2 linked regions of the Anolis sagrei genome follow. The protein of the gene in region 1 interacts with the protein of each later gene in a biochemical or structural test. Links are inferred from orthologs where the notes say so. Each region holds a gene or a part of one and is shown on either strand. Other genes may lie near its edges.

Region 1 (7,220 bases):
AGTATCCCTTTCAACAAGCAGTGCTACCTTACCCCACTGTTCAACAAGCAACTTGCAAAGGATACACCTCTGCCTCACTCCAGGATTCAGAACAGGTAACAGGATGGCCACCAGAAAGCTGTTGCTATGTCTGTGTAATAATATACTCTACTGGATTGAACAGGATCTTAGCCAAATTCTTTAAAACACCACTTACCACATATTCTTGTTCATTATTGTCAATGAAAAAGGCCTGCATCAGAAATTCTCGCACCATAGCCATGTTGATTTATGTTTCTGCAACAAGAGATGAGAATAAAATGCTGTAGAATTCTCTTTTGTACATTCATTTTAAACACTCTTCTGGTTATTCAGGACATTCCAAGAGCCAGCACATTAGACAAATATTCCTCCCACATCTGCCCGGAGGCCTCTAAATGAGTCAGAGTCCTCTGTGGTATTCTCATTTTACTCTGGGAGAAACTGTGTGACATGCTGTTTCATAGAATCATAGAGTTGGAAGAGACCTCATGCACCATCCCATGAGTATTTAAAGATAAAACTGCAAAGACTCTGGCACAAGCCAGTAAAGGTCATCCCAGTGGTGATCGGCACACTGGGTGCAGTGCCTAAAGACCTTGGTCTACACTTAAAAACAATCGGCGTTGATAAAATTACCATCTGTCAGCTGCAAAAGGCTACCCTACTTGCATACCCTACTGCACTCATTATTCACCAATACATCATACAGTTCTAGACACTTGAGAAGTGTCCAACATGTGATCAAATTAAAAAGCCAGCATAGTGATCATGTTTGCTGTGCACTAATATCGTTATGCCACTCCCCTATTAAAACAGCTCCACTGGCTGCTGATAAGTTTCCTGTCCCAATTCAAAGCCCTAAATGGTTTGGGTCCAGCCTATCATTGTGATCACATATTTCCCGATGAACCTGTGCGAGCTCTAAGATCTCCTGGAGAGGCCCTTTTTTCGTTCCTACCTCTGTCTCAAGTGTGGTTGGTGGGGACGAGAGAGAGGGCCTTCTCGGTGGTGGCCCCCAGCCCTGGAACCCTCTCCACACGGAGATTAGACTAGTGTGCACCCTGTCCACTTTCTGTAAAGCCCTAAAAACAATGCGCTTTTGATTAACCGGTAAATGAAGGAGTTTCCAGCATGCTCCAGGGCAGAGAGTTCCACTGCTGAACAGCTCTCACAGTTAGGAAGTTCTTCCTAATATTCAGGTGGAATCTCCTTTCCTGTAGTTTGAAGTAATTGTTACAAGTCCTAGTCTCCAAAGCAGCAGGACGCGGGACAATGGCTTCAAACTACAAGAACGAAGAACAATCCCATAGCCCAGTCCCAAAGCTGTACATAAAAGACTCAACACATCAGTTTAAAATTAATAAAAGAGACTAATTTTAACCACGCTCTTTAATTATAACAATTTGATTTTACTTTTACTGCCACGGCTCCAGCCTATAGAATCCTGAGTTTGTAGGTTAGGAAGGTTTCATTTCCTTCTAGAGATTTCTAGTTCTCTCCCTTGAAATACAACTGTAGAGATCTCTTGCATACTGTTATGATATAACCCAGACGATGGTTGCAAAACTTGTGCAAGCAGCCATATGTTAAGCCTTGATAATATTTGAATAAAAGAAGAGCCTCTGGTGATGGGACACAAAACTTTCAGGAACTGGATGTGGGATGGCCACACCCCGATCTATTAAAATGTGATCCCAGTTAGATCTTTTTGGAAGTAGTATAGGTTATAAAAGATAACCACACATTGCAGGAAATAGCCAACACGTGAATCTCATTGGAAGTATCTACAACCTCATAACTATGTTTCTGGGATCATTTGTTGTGGGCCGCAGTATCCCCAAAGTACATGTCCCATGCAATGCTTTCAGGAAAACAGGAAGACAAATCCTGTCCCAATATAAATGTAGTACAGTATGATAGGGCAAAGTAGTGGGCAATTTATGGTCCAGCTGGTGATATTCACTCCAGATCCTATCATCCCCAGCAGGCACAGCCAACAACAGTTGGAGGACCATTAGTCACTCAGCTTAAAGACTGTTGTATGTATAGAGCATCAATTAAAACATGCAAGCACATTCATACAAAAGTGAAATCCCATTGTCTTGAGTGTGGTGATATACTTTGTAACAAGTAAATGTGGTTAAGACTGCCAACAAAACTCACTTCCTAAAAGAACAGTTACCCTTGCAGTCAGCCTGCATTTATATGCAACTCCTACAAATTTTACAGCCAGGATGGCGTGAAAAATTTTGAAAAACTTGTTTTATGACTGAAAAGAATCCACCAGTGAGGAGGAAATGGCCCGACACTCTTTTTTATGTATCTGTGGAAAGTTTGAACAGACTAAAAGTAGAATTCCACAGAGCTTACTCATGCTGCTGAGTTGCTGCTTACGTGTAAACAGAAAAACTGGACTGTTTCATTCCCTTGCTTTCTCAGAAGGCAGCTCTTATTTAAATTTTCACTTTGCTTTTCATATGCTGTTAATATTTTCAAGTTTAGGAGAACTGAGCTCTACTATTCCCAAATAATTAAGCAACCTCATCATAACTGCAGGGGAAGTGGCCTCATGTAAGTTTCCATACAAGGGAGGGGCATTTTTCCCCTCTTGACACAGACTTTTGTGGTTAAAAATAATTCAGTTGTCCATAGAAACATGAACAAACACAGCATGGAGCAAGTCGGTTCTAAAAAAAACCTGTATTGTACAAACTTAAGAAAACTTTATATTCAGACGTTTAGATTTAGACACTATAAAGCTTTGCCACTCCCACCCCAGCTGCCCTAATATCCACACAACTTCAAAACAATTGGAGAAGCTTAGATAAACTACAATACTATTCTCACATTCTGTGCAGGGAAAAAAAGCCACATCAACATGTGCAGAAAGCGACACACTTCTACAGCAAGTGAAGAAATGATGTCTAAAGAAACCATACCTTTTCTTTTCCACAAGTCACACCAACTCTGTTTTCTGATTTGGGAAAGTACTGACTGGAAGAACTAAGCCTAAGCCTTCTGCTTTTTATAAAGTCATTGGAAGCCACACCTAGCAACCAGGATTAACTTCTCCAACTCCAAGGATTGGTTGCTCAGTGGAAATGGCTCAACATGTGATGTAGATGATAGACACACCCACATGTCTTTGAAACAAACTGGCCACTGAAGTGAAGAAATAGATATCTGAGCTAATGGCAAAACTGCAGATTGAATACGGAAGGCGACAGAGGAGTATCGGTAGATTGAATTCAATAGTGTTAAGAAATGTTTTGATTTTGTAATGTGCAACATCCTCTGTAATTGTTTATGCACCAAAAGAGATGCAGACAACAATTCTGTTCCAGGGTGGATTTTCACTCTTCCTCCTAAGGGTTCTCACCCATAATTTCCTTCATGCTTCATCAGTCTGATATTTCTGACTTTTTCTTTTTATTCTCACAGTGTTGACACACTAATACAAGTTGGGCACCCTTTATCCATGTCAGCTTGCTTTCAGATTATTCAATGTACACAGCATTTGTTTCATACACAAAATGATTTTTAAATTTGTGTATAAATTAACTTCAGCTATGTGTATAAGGTGTCTATGAGACATGCACAAAGATGTTGTTTAGACTTGAGTCCCATCTCCAAGGTTTCTCATTATGTACATATATGATACAAATACAGGTATTCCAAGATCTTTTAAAAAATCTGAAATCCAAAACACCTCAGATCTCAAGCACTTCAGAGAAGAGATGCTTAATCTGTATTCATTTATGAAAGGTAAAGTTTATGCGTCTTTGAACTCCCAAAATTTAAAAAACCCAAAACTTTTCAGAGATCCACCCCATAAATTATATACCCCTAAAATCAAAACAGTTCAAAATGATCCAGAATGGTCTTTAATCCAAATTTTAAGTTGGTATCAAATATATGTAATTGGAATGCCACTAGGCCAATGTTTATAAATAAGGAACTGGTGGTTATGTATCTTGAAATAAGCCTATAGATATTATGAATAAGCCTTTTTCAGCTTGTGGGTGTATCCACATATATTTACTTATTGATGGCTGGCTGTGATAGCAGTTGCAGCCCAATACATCTGGAGAGCACCCAGTTATCATTGCCATTTTTTTCATGTCAGGAGCGACTTGAGAAAGTCACTTCTGATGTGAGAGAAATGGCCATCTGCAAGGATGTTCCTCAAGTAACACCCAAACATTTTGATGTTTTTACCATCCTTGTGGGAGGTTTCTCTCATGTCCCCGCATGAGCTGGAGCTGACAGAGGGAGCTCAACCCGCTTTCCCCAGATTCAAACCACTGATCTGTCGGTCAGCAATCCTGCCAGCACAAGGGTTTAACTCATTTTGCCACTGGGGTCTCCTATCATTGCCAATATGTTGATAGTACTTCAATGTGTAATCCACAATTTATTTGACAGGAGAGAAAAGGAGTGTCTACAACTAATTTCCAGGAAATTTGAAAAAATGAATGTTCTCCCAGACATGTCCAGCCCTTTAGATCTGTGTGGGAAACCTTTCTCTTGTTCCCATAACCCTTGGAGGCAGGTTTAGTGAGAACATGAGGCAGAACTTTCTGGGTGGCTGCGCCCAGGACAATTTGGTCCTTCCTTGTTGTCTTCAGCAGGAAATTACTTATTATTCAGGCAGATTTTTGGCAATTGGAGGACACGGTGTAAAATAGATGTACCCAGTAGGTTTCTTTATTTTTGACAGTTATTTAAAACTATCCACTTTCAATTTTCTTTAGTTTAATTGTGGCATTAATGATGTAACTTACTTTATACTTTTTCAGTAATTTTATAGTAATGCTTAGTAATGTTTCATTTGAATTAGTTTTTAATTGTGTAGTAAGCCACTCTGAATCATAGTCACAGAGAAATAAATCAATACTAATATACTTCATGGGCTTCTTAGTTATATATGATAACAACTAAGTAATGTCTCTAGTCCAATCCTCCCCTTCTAGTCCACCTTAACAACCAGCAGTAAGATTAGGAGAGAAAGGTCTGTTCAGCTGGCAACTGAGGAGTAAGGATGATATTCTCAGTTCCTTCACCAGAGAGCAAACTTGCAAAAAGAACTTGTGTGTCTAAGATCTGATGGTTGCAGTCTCAGTCACTAATGGGAGAGAGTTAAAAACATTATCCTTTCATCCTGATCGACAGCTGAAGAAACATCCTTCACCCAGTCTGGTTGCTGGCTGTTAATGTGGGCTGAGGAGGTGGCATGACAAAGGCTATTTCTACACTAGACGGGTTAGTCCATTGTATATCTGTCTCAAAGCAACCCCAGATCCAGCATGTACATGCTAAACTAAAGACCAGTCCAGCCAGGCTGGGATCACAGCAGCCCGGCTAGGATGTTATCTTGTCCTCCATGTTGCCACTGCCACAACCTGCCAGTCACAGAATTCTGTGAGAGTGCTTGGCTATGTCCAGTCACATCTGCTGATGTCAGAACAGGGCACCTGTGCAACTAGCAAGAAGTAAGGGGTTGATCAACATCTGCAAATATCAGCAATATATGCCCATGATGGCGAGGTATTCTTCAGTGAACTCTGTTGCCAGTAGGAAGCAATTACAGTGATGCAGGGGTGAGCCATTCCCTTCCTCTCTGCTGTTCAGCTCAGAGAAAGGGTTATGGTGGCAGTGTCCATTTGGACATGGGATCTGACCACAATATATCCAATCCAACTATCCAGACTGCTTTTCAGCCTTAAGGTATTTTGCGATTTGGTCTAGAACAGTCGATCAAATCAAAACCAGAAAACCTGGGGTATTGACCAAAAGTTCCTATTCATCATGGAGACAGGAGGCGATGGATTCAAAATGAAGCTAGCTTAACCCATGATTTTATTCAACAAAAGGCAGTTATGGATTCCTAACTGTAGATTACAAAATTATAACTGAAAATCTGAACCCCAGCAAAAATAAATAAAAAACAAGTAAACTTAATGTAGGACAGCAGGCAGAACGCACAATCCAATGGTCAGTGGATTGGGCTCCTTCTTTCAAAAGGATTGGTTTCTATAGCTCAACACCTTAAATCAAGAAATAGTTTTCTAAGATCTACAGAGATACTCGCAAGAACACCTCAGCAAGTGAGAGTCCAAAAGTGGCAAGCTAAATCCCAGCACCTCAATCCATGGCTGATACCAAATGAGAGACTCCCCCCTGGGCACACAGAAGACTGGGCAACTTGGAAGGCACTGAACAGACTGCGCTCTGGCACCACAAGATGCAGAGCCATCCTTAAGAAATGGGGCTACAAAGTGGAGTCCATGACACGCGAATGTGGAGAAGACAAACCACAGACCCCCTACTACAATGCAACCTGAGCCCTGCCACATGCACAATGGAGCACCTCCTTATAGTGACGCCAGAGGCACTCCCAAGTGGCCAGCTACTGGTCAAATTACTTTTAATAGAATGCCAAGTTTTTAAACTGTGTGTTTTCTCAAAAACAATGGTTCACTCCTGATACAATAAATAAAATATATAGCTCTTCTCTACTACCTGGGCATAAAGTTCTATCTGTATGTGAGAGAAAGGAGCTGATTGTTAAATGCTGTCATCTGGTTTGTAATAACTTGAAACAAAATATTAATGGATAAAACTGAAATGCCAAGCCCATCTGGAAGAATGTAAGGTTGAAATGAATTCACCTCTAGGTCACTGAACCATTCTGCATCACTGCATTGTAAAGATGGTGTGTGCACTTTCAAGTCATATTTTCAATGTATGGTGGCACCAAGGATTTGCTATGTTTTTTTCTTAGGCAAGAAATACTCAGAAGTGGTTTTGTCAATTGCTTCCTCTACAACATAGCCTACAGCACTTGGTGTTCATTGGCAGTCTCCATCCAAGTTAGCTTCCAAGTTCAGATGGTGATGCCTTTAGGGATTGTAACATGAAAGAAATGAAGGTGGTGGGACCAAGTAGCAGTCAGCCCACAAAAGAGGGCACCCCATGAAAGGGAATGTTTCACAACTAAAAAAGCAAAGTGTGAGCTGATGTATAGCAGAAACATCTCTTCATTTTAAAAACAACCAAATTGTTTTTAACCTGTAATTGCTGATTAGTAAAACAGAGATAGCATTGTACCTTAAATAAAGAATGAAATGACTGATCCTTCTCCAAATAGCAATTAAGTGATGTGGGTGTGGGTATGTGTGTTTTAAGTTCATTCTGAC
Region 2 (7,078 bases), on another chromosome or scaffold:
GTAAACCGCTCCGAGCCAAATTGGGAGTAGCGGTATACAAGTCAAATAAATAAATAAATAAATAAATAATAATAATAATAAATAATAATAATAGTAATCCAGCATATATATCTGATTTGCTGTGACATACTGTGTTTTTGTATCAGCAAAATAATAATAATAATAATAATAATAATAATAATAATAATAATAATGGCTGGAATCACTGGGTTGTTGTAGGTTTTTCCGGGCTATATGGCCATGTTCTAGAGGCATTTTCTCCTGACGTTTCGCCTGCATCTATGGCAAGCATCACCTCACTACCTCTGAGGATGCTTGCCATAGATGCAGGCAAAACGTCAGGAGAAAATGCCTCTAGAACATGGCCATATAGCCCAGAAAAACCTATAACAACCTAATAATAATAATAATAATAATAATAATAATAATAATAATAATAGTAATTTCTCAATGTGTTTCTCAGCTTTGCGCTTTTTGACACCAGGAGAAAATAAGCTCACAAGGAAATCTTGGGAAAGGGACGCCTGGGGCAGAGAGTCTGGGCGGAGGAGGTGGAGATGAATCAGGTTTTGGGAACCAGCCCAAATCTGCACCTTTTTCTCATGCGAACTGGAATGTTTGCTCAATGGAAAGGAGTTGGAAGGAAAGGGGAAAAAGGTGGGCCCGTTTCAATATCCTCTTGGCCTCCTTCTCTTTACTGAGCGCCCTTTGGAAGGCCAATTTGCAGTAATGGGAGGAAGCTGAGCACAAAAGCGGAAGGACGAGAGATAAGCCGGGACGTTTCAAAGGTAGCTGGGAAAGGGACGAATCAGGAACGGTTGCAAATTGCGATTTTTGGCAAGTATCTTGCACTGTCCCAGGATCAGACTTTTGGGACATTTGGAGATTATCTGGGAGGGGCGTTCAGTCTTGATGACCTTTGGGGACCCTCTTGAAGGTCATTTTGCAGCAATGGCAGCAAGCAGAGTACAAAAGGGGGAAGGAGGAGAGAAGAATCCCTTGCAATAGCCTCCCAGCTCCGTTACGCCACACAGAGAGGTGTGCAAAGTAGGGTGTGATGTGCTTCAGGCGGGCCAAAACGGTTTCACATGGCCGCGCCCTTTTGTGAGCCGCTCGTGCAATCTCTGCCCAATAATGCTGGTGCCTCACCAAACTATAACTCCCAGGACTCCATAGCAAGGAGTCTGGGACAGTCCAAGTCTCCAACCCCATTAATTTGGCAGTTGATGCTCCCTCAAAGGAAAGGAAAAGCTCAAGGAGACCCATAGAGTGAAGTTTTGGTGCCTCTTCTCCATCTTTCTGAAAATGGAAACCTATAGGTCCATATTCCAAACATAAGATCTATGTCTCCAAATTTCCAGATCTTCAGGAGACCTGTGTCTCCATATTTCCAAATCCTAAGGAGACCTATGACTCCATATTTCTAAACCTTCAGGAGATCTATATCTCGATATTTCCAAACATTAAGGAGACCTGTGTCTCCATATTTCCAAACCTTTAGGAGACCTATGTCTCCAAATTTCTAAACCTTAAGGAGATCCATGGGATAAAAATCTCCAAACCTTAAGGATACCCAAGTCTCCAAATTTCCAAACCTTCAGGAGATTCATGGGATGAAATTTCCAAACCTTCAGGAGACCTACATCTCCATATTTCCAAACCTTCAGGAGACCCATGGGATGAAATTTCCAAACCTTCAGGAGACATTTAGGATGAAATTTCCAAACCTTCAGGAGACATACATCTCCAAATTTCCAACCTTTGGGAGAGCTATGGGTCTATATTTCTAAACCTTCAGGAGACCCTTAGGATGAAATTTCCAAACTTTCAGGAGACCTACGTCTCCAAATTTCCAAACCTTTGGGAGAACTGTGGTTCCATATTTCCAAACCTTCAGGAGACCCTTAGGATGAAATTTCCAAACCTTCAGAAGACCCTTAGGATGAAATTTCCAAACCTTCAGGAGATATACATCTCCAAATTTCCAACCTTTGGGAGAGCTATGGGTCTATATTTCTAAACCTTCAGGAGACCCTTAGGATGAAATTTCCAAACCTTCAGGAGACCTACGTCTCTAAATTTCCAAACCTTTGGGAGAGCTATGGATCCATATTTCCAAACCCCAAGGAGACCTATGTCTCCATATTTCCAAACTCTAAGGAGACCTATGTCTCCAAATTTCCAAACCTTAAGAGACCCATGGGATGAAATTTCCCAACCTTCAGGAGACCAACGTCTCCAAATTTCCAAACCTTAATTAAGGAGACCTATGTCTCCAAATTTCCAAACCTTCAGGAGACCCATGGGATGAAATATCCAAATCTTAAGGAGACCTATGGGTTCAAATTTCCATACTTTTGTCTCCAAATTCCCAAACCAACATCTCCAAATTCTCAGGAGAGCTATGGGTCCATATTTCCAAGTCTTAAAGAGACTTATGTTTCCAAATTTCTAAACCTTAAGGAGACCTCTGGGTCCGTATCTCCAAATCTTAAGGAGACCCATGGGTTCAAATTTCCAAACTTTAAGGAGACCCATGGAATGAAATGTCCAAATTTTAAGGAGACCCGTGGGGTGACATTTGGGTGCCCCCTTTTCCTTCTTTCCGAACCTGAAAGAGACTCATTGGGCGTCCTTATTCCATTGTTCCAAATGCCCCAAACCGCCTCTCCAAACTCTGCAGAGGATATGATTTCAGTCTTGGCGGTTTCTCTCTTCTTCCGTGCCAAAAAAAGGCTTTTCCAGTTTTCCAGAATTCAATAAAAACAAACAAAGGGAGGAAAAGAGGACGAAAGTTGCATGTTGCGGTGCATGTTTCCCTATGTGGTGCCTGCAACTTACCATGGTTTCGGAAATGCAGAAGCAAGGAGAGAAATGTGGTGGCTTCGCCGAAGCTGTTGGCCTGTTGCTGTGGGCGATGGGTCTGATGCGCAAAAGGAAGCGCACTCCACTCCCCTCCCCAGCCAACGCCCAAAGTTCTTTCTCTTGTGGCTTTTGGCTTGAGCAATGGCTTTGTGAAAGCAGACCCAGGCAGGCCTGCTGAGAGGGCTTGCACAACCCCACCTGACTTATGCGCTCAGGAATGTGGAAGAAGACGAGGGTGGGGGCGGGTGCGCACGTTTATTTTACTTCTAAGTCCTCTTATCAGGGCCAGATTGGAGCACAATGCTGAGGAGAGCGCACCAAAAGCCCTGGCTTATTGCTTCTCAATGCATCATCCCATAAATGGAGAAGAAGAGCACATCAATGCATTTTGAGACCATTTCCACATCTGTGGCTCAATGCTATGGGATTGTGGGAGCTGCAGTTTGCCAGTCTGAAGCTTTCATAGACCTAGACTTGGGTGCATTGCCAAACTATAATTCCCACAATGTCCTCCAATGTGAGACAATGGTGCATCTGAGTTTTCATGGCCCTAGACTTGGGTGCATTGCCAAACTACAACTCCCATTATGTCCCCCAAACCCACAAATGTGAGACAATGTTGCATCTAAGCTTTTATGACCGTAGACTTGGGTGCAACACCAAACTACAACTCCCACAATGTCCTCCGAACTCACCAATGTAACATAGTGGTGCATCTAAGCTTTCATGGCCCTAGACTTGCGTGAATCACCAAACTACAACTCCCACAATGTCCTCTGAATCCACAAATGTGAGACATTGGTGCATCTAAGTTTTAATGGCCCTAGACTTGGATTCATTGCCAACTACAACTCCCACAATGTCATTCGAACCCACCAATACAAGGCAATGGTGTATCTAAGTTTTCATGTCCGTAGACTTGGGTGCATCACCAAACTACAACTCCCACAATGTCCTCCAATGTGGGACAATGGTGCATCTAAGTCTTCATGGCCCTAGACTTGGGTGCATCACAAAACTACAACTCCCACAATGTCTTCTGAACCCATAAATGTGAGACAATGGTGCATCTAAGCTTCCATGGCCCTAAACTTAGATGCAATGCAAACTACAACTCCCACAGTGTCCTACGAATCCACCATTGTGAGACAATGGTGCATTTCAGTTTTCATGGCCCTAGATTTGGGTGCATTGTCAAACTATAACTCCCACAATGTCCTCTGAACCCACCAATGTGAGACAATAGTGTATCTAAGTTTTCATGGTCCTACATCTGGGTGCATCACCAAACTACAACTCCCACAATGTCCTCCGAACCCTCAAATTTGAGACAATGGTGCATCTAAGCTTTCATGGGCCTAGACTTGGATGCAACACCCAAACTACAACTCCCACATTGTCCTCCGAACCCACCAATGTGAGACAATGGTGTATCTAAGTTTTCATGGCCCTAGATTTGGGTCCATCACTAAACTACAACTCCCACAATGTCCTCCGAACACACCAATGTGGGACAACGGTGCATCTAAGCTTTCATGGGCCTAGACTTGCATGCATCACCAAACTACAACTCCCATTATGTCCCCCAAACCCACAAATGTGAGACAATGTTGCATCTAAGCTTTCATGGCCGTAGACTTGGGTGCATCACCAAACTACAACTCCCATTATGTCCCCCAAACCCACAAATGTGAGACTATGTTGCATCTAAGCTTTCATGGCCATAGACTTAGGTGCATCACCAAACTACAACTCCCATTATGTCCCCCAAACCCACAAATGTGAGACAATGCAGTAGAATGAATGCAACCGAAGACCGCTTGAACTACCCTGGCTGAAGGCTATAGATTCCTGGGAGCTGTAGTTTGGCAAAGCCTGTAGCCTTCTAGGCCTAAGAATGGTATTGCTAAACTATATCTCCCAGGATCTCACATAATGAATAGCTGTATCCTCATTGTAGAAAGAATGCAACTGGAGGCCACTTGAATTGCTGTGGCTCAATGCTATGGGATTTCAGGAGTTGTAGTTTTCCTGTAACTTTCTCAGTGAGAGTTGGGCACTGCACCAAGCTACAACTCCCAGGATTACATACATACGACTAATAAGTGCATGAATGTAGTTTGACAACACTATAATAGCCATGGAGCAATGCTATGGAACTGAGGGAGTTATAGTTTGGGGAGGCCCTGGCAGAGAAGGCGAAATACATTGTAAAACTATAATTCCCTTAATTCCATAGCATTGAGCCTTGGCAGTCCAAGTGGTGCCAAACTATGCATCCATTATACACTCCAAAAGGTACATCAAAATGAATGCAATTTGGCATCTCCATAACATCCATGGCTCAATGCTACAAGATTTGGAGAGTTGTAGTTTTGCACAGCCTGTTGTTTTCTTGGCACAAGAGTATTGGGACCTCGCCAAACTACAACTCCCAGGATCCCATACAACTAATGAGTTTGTGTCCACTTGAACTGCCATGTCTCCAGGTGCTCTGCCAAACTACAACTCCCAGGATCCCATACAACTGAGTTTGTGTCCACTTGAACTGCCATGGCTCCAGGTGCTCTGCCAAACTACAACTCCCAGGATCCCATACAACTAATGAGTTTGTGGCCACTTGAACTGCCATGGCTCCATGGAGTAGTCTACTGGGAGTTGTAGTTCTGCAAGGTCTTCTCTGCCCCAGGTGCTCTGCCAAACTACAACTCCCAGGATCCCATACAATGAACGAGTTTGTGGCCATTTGAACTGCCATGGCTCCATGGAGACATCTGCTGGGAGTTGTAGTTCTGCAAGGTCTTCTCTGCCCCAGGTGCTCTGCCAAACTACAACTCCCAGGATCCCATACAACTAATGAGTTTGTGGCCACTTGAACCGCCATGCCTCCATGGAGACGTTTGCTGGGAGTTGTAGCTCCGCAAGGTCTTCTCTGCCCAAGGTTCTCTGCCAAACTACAACTCCCAGAATCCCATACAACTAATGAGTTTGTGGCCACTTGAACTGCCATGGCTCCATGGAGTAGTCTACTGGGAGTTGTAGTTCCGCAAGGTCTTCTCTGCCCAAGGTGATCTGCCAAACTACAACTCCCAGGATCCCATACAACGAACGAGTTTGTGGCCACTTGAATTGCCATGGCTCCATGGAGTAGTCTGCTGGGAGTTGTAGTTCCGCAAGGTCTTCTCTGCCCCAGGTGCTCTGCCAAACTACAACTCCCATGTTTCCAAAGCATTGGGCCAAGACAGTTCAAGTGATGCCAAACTGCTCCAAATCCCGGGAGTTACAGTTCTGAGAGGCACCAGCCCTATGTGGCATGGGAGGCTGTTGACTTTGTCAAACTACAACTCCCAGGATTCCATAGTAGCGAACTATGGCTAGTGTTGAACTATGGCTAGTGTTGTATGGCTAGGTAGTGTCGTATTGCATTAATTCCACAGTGTGGGTGCACCTGAGCTCTAGCAGCTTGTTGATTTATTCTGCAGGTGGCTGGGATTTGCCCTAATTCAGGGGGAAATTGTAGTTTTCCCATGGTCTCATAAACTGACATGGGACGGAGCTCATATCTCAAAGGGGAAAAAATTTACAATGTACTCGTGGAGAGTTTCCACGGGTTTCGGTGAGAAGGACTCACATCTTGTGCAATTGTGTTGAATCAACATGCACACAAAATAGAAGAGGAGAGATCTAGAGCGGTTAAGGACGCCCAGAAGGGAAGAGAAAGGGAAGGCCTGTTTGTTTGCCTCTTGTTTGTTTTATTTTTCACGCCATGGAGACTAGCTGTGACTTGCTAGGAAAGCACACACACACACACACAATCCCTGGACAAAGTTTCCCATGAGTCATCCAATTAATCATTTCCTCCAGGCAATGAACCATCACTCCCTTGATTTTCCATTATTGTTGATTTGGTTGACTCTCTGTTGCCACCTAGTGGTCTATGCATGTATTGCTAGAATTGGATCAATTATATTTTTATTTTTAATTTAATTTTTCTCCTGATTTAGGGACTCAAGTGAGGCACATATTTTAGAAAAATGTAATAGAATTATGGTCCTTCGTGGAGACTTGGCTCGCAACCCAACAATTCTCTGATTTTACAAACGAAAAGAACGAAACGGAGACGACAATTGAATCAGATAAAGGTAATTTATTGATATACTTGGAATACGATCCATCCACTCCCTTGAATTCTTGGGATTTTGAAGGAAATCTC

The links. The genes of interacting proteins can lie anywhere in the genome.
Region 2: the proteins of ANXA1 (region 1) and S100A11 form a complex in vitro, tested with the Homo sapiens proteins (2 studies listed by BioGRID). The link is inferred for Anolis sagrei from reciprocal best matches to the Homo sapiens genes ANXA1 and S100A11.

The regions. Positions count from the first base shown.
Region 1 is NC_090022.1:223,642,960-223,650,179, reverse strand, and holds the start of ANXA1 (annexin A1), read right to left. Parts: upstream 3,070-7,220; 5' UTR 2,961-3,069; intron 277-2,960; 5' UTR 263-276; coding exon 197-262; intron 1-196. UniProt on the Homo sapiens protein: Plays important roles in the innate immune response as effector of glucocorticoid-mediated responses and regulator of the inflammatory process. Has anti-inflammatory activity.
Region 2 is NC_090032.1:3,615,992-3,623,069, reverse strand, and holds the start of S100A11 (protein S100-A11), read right to left. Parts: upstream 3,025-7,078; 5' UTR 2,845-3,024; coding exon 2,842-2,844; intron 1-2,841. UniProt on the Homo sapiens protein: Facilitates the differentiation and the cornification of keratinocytes.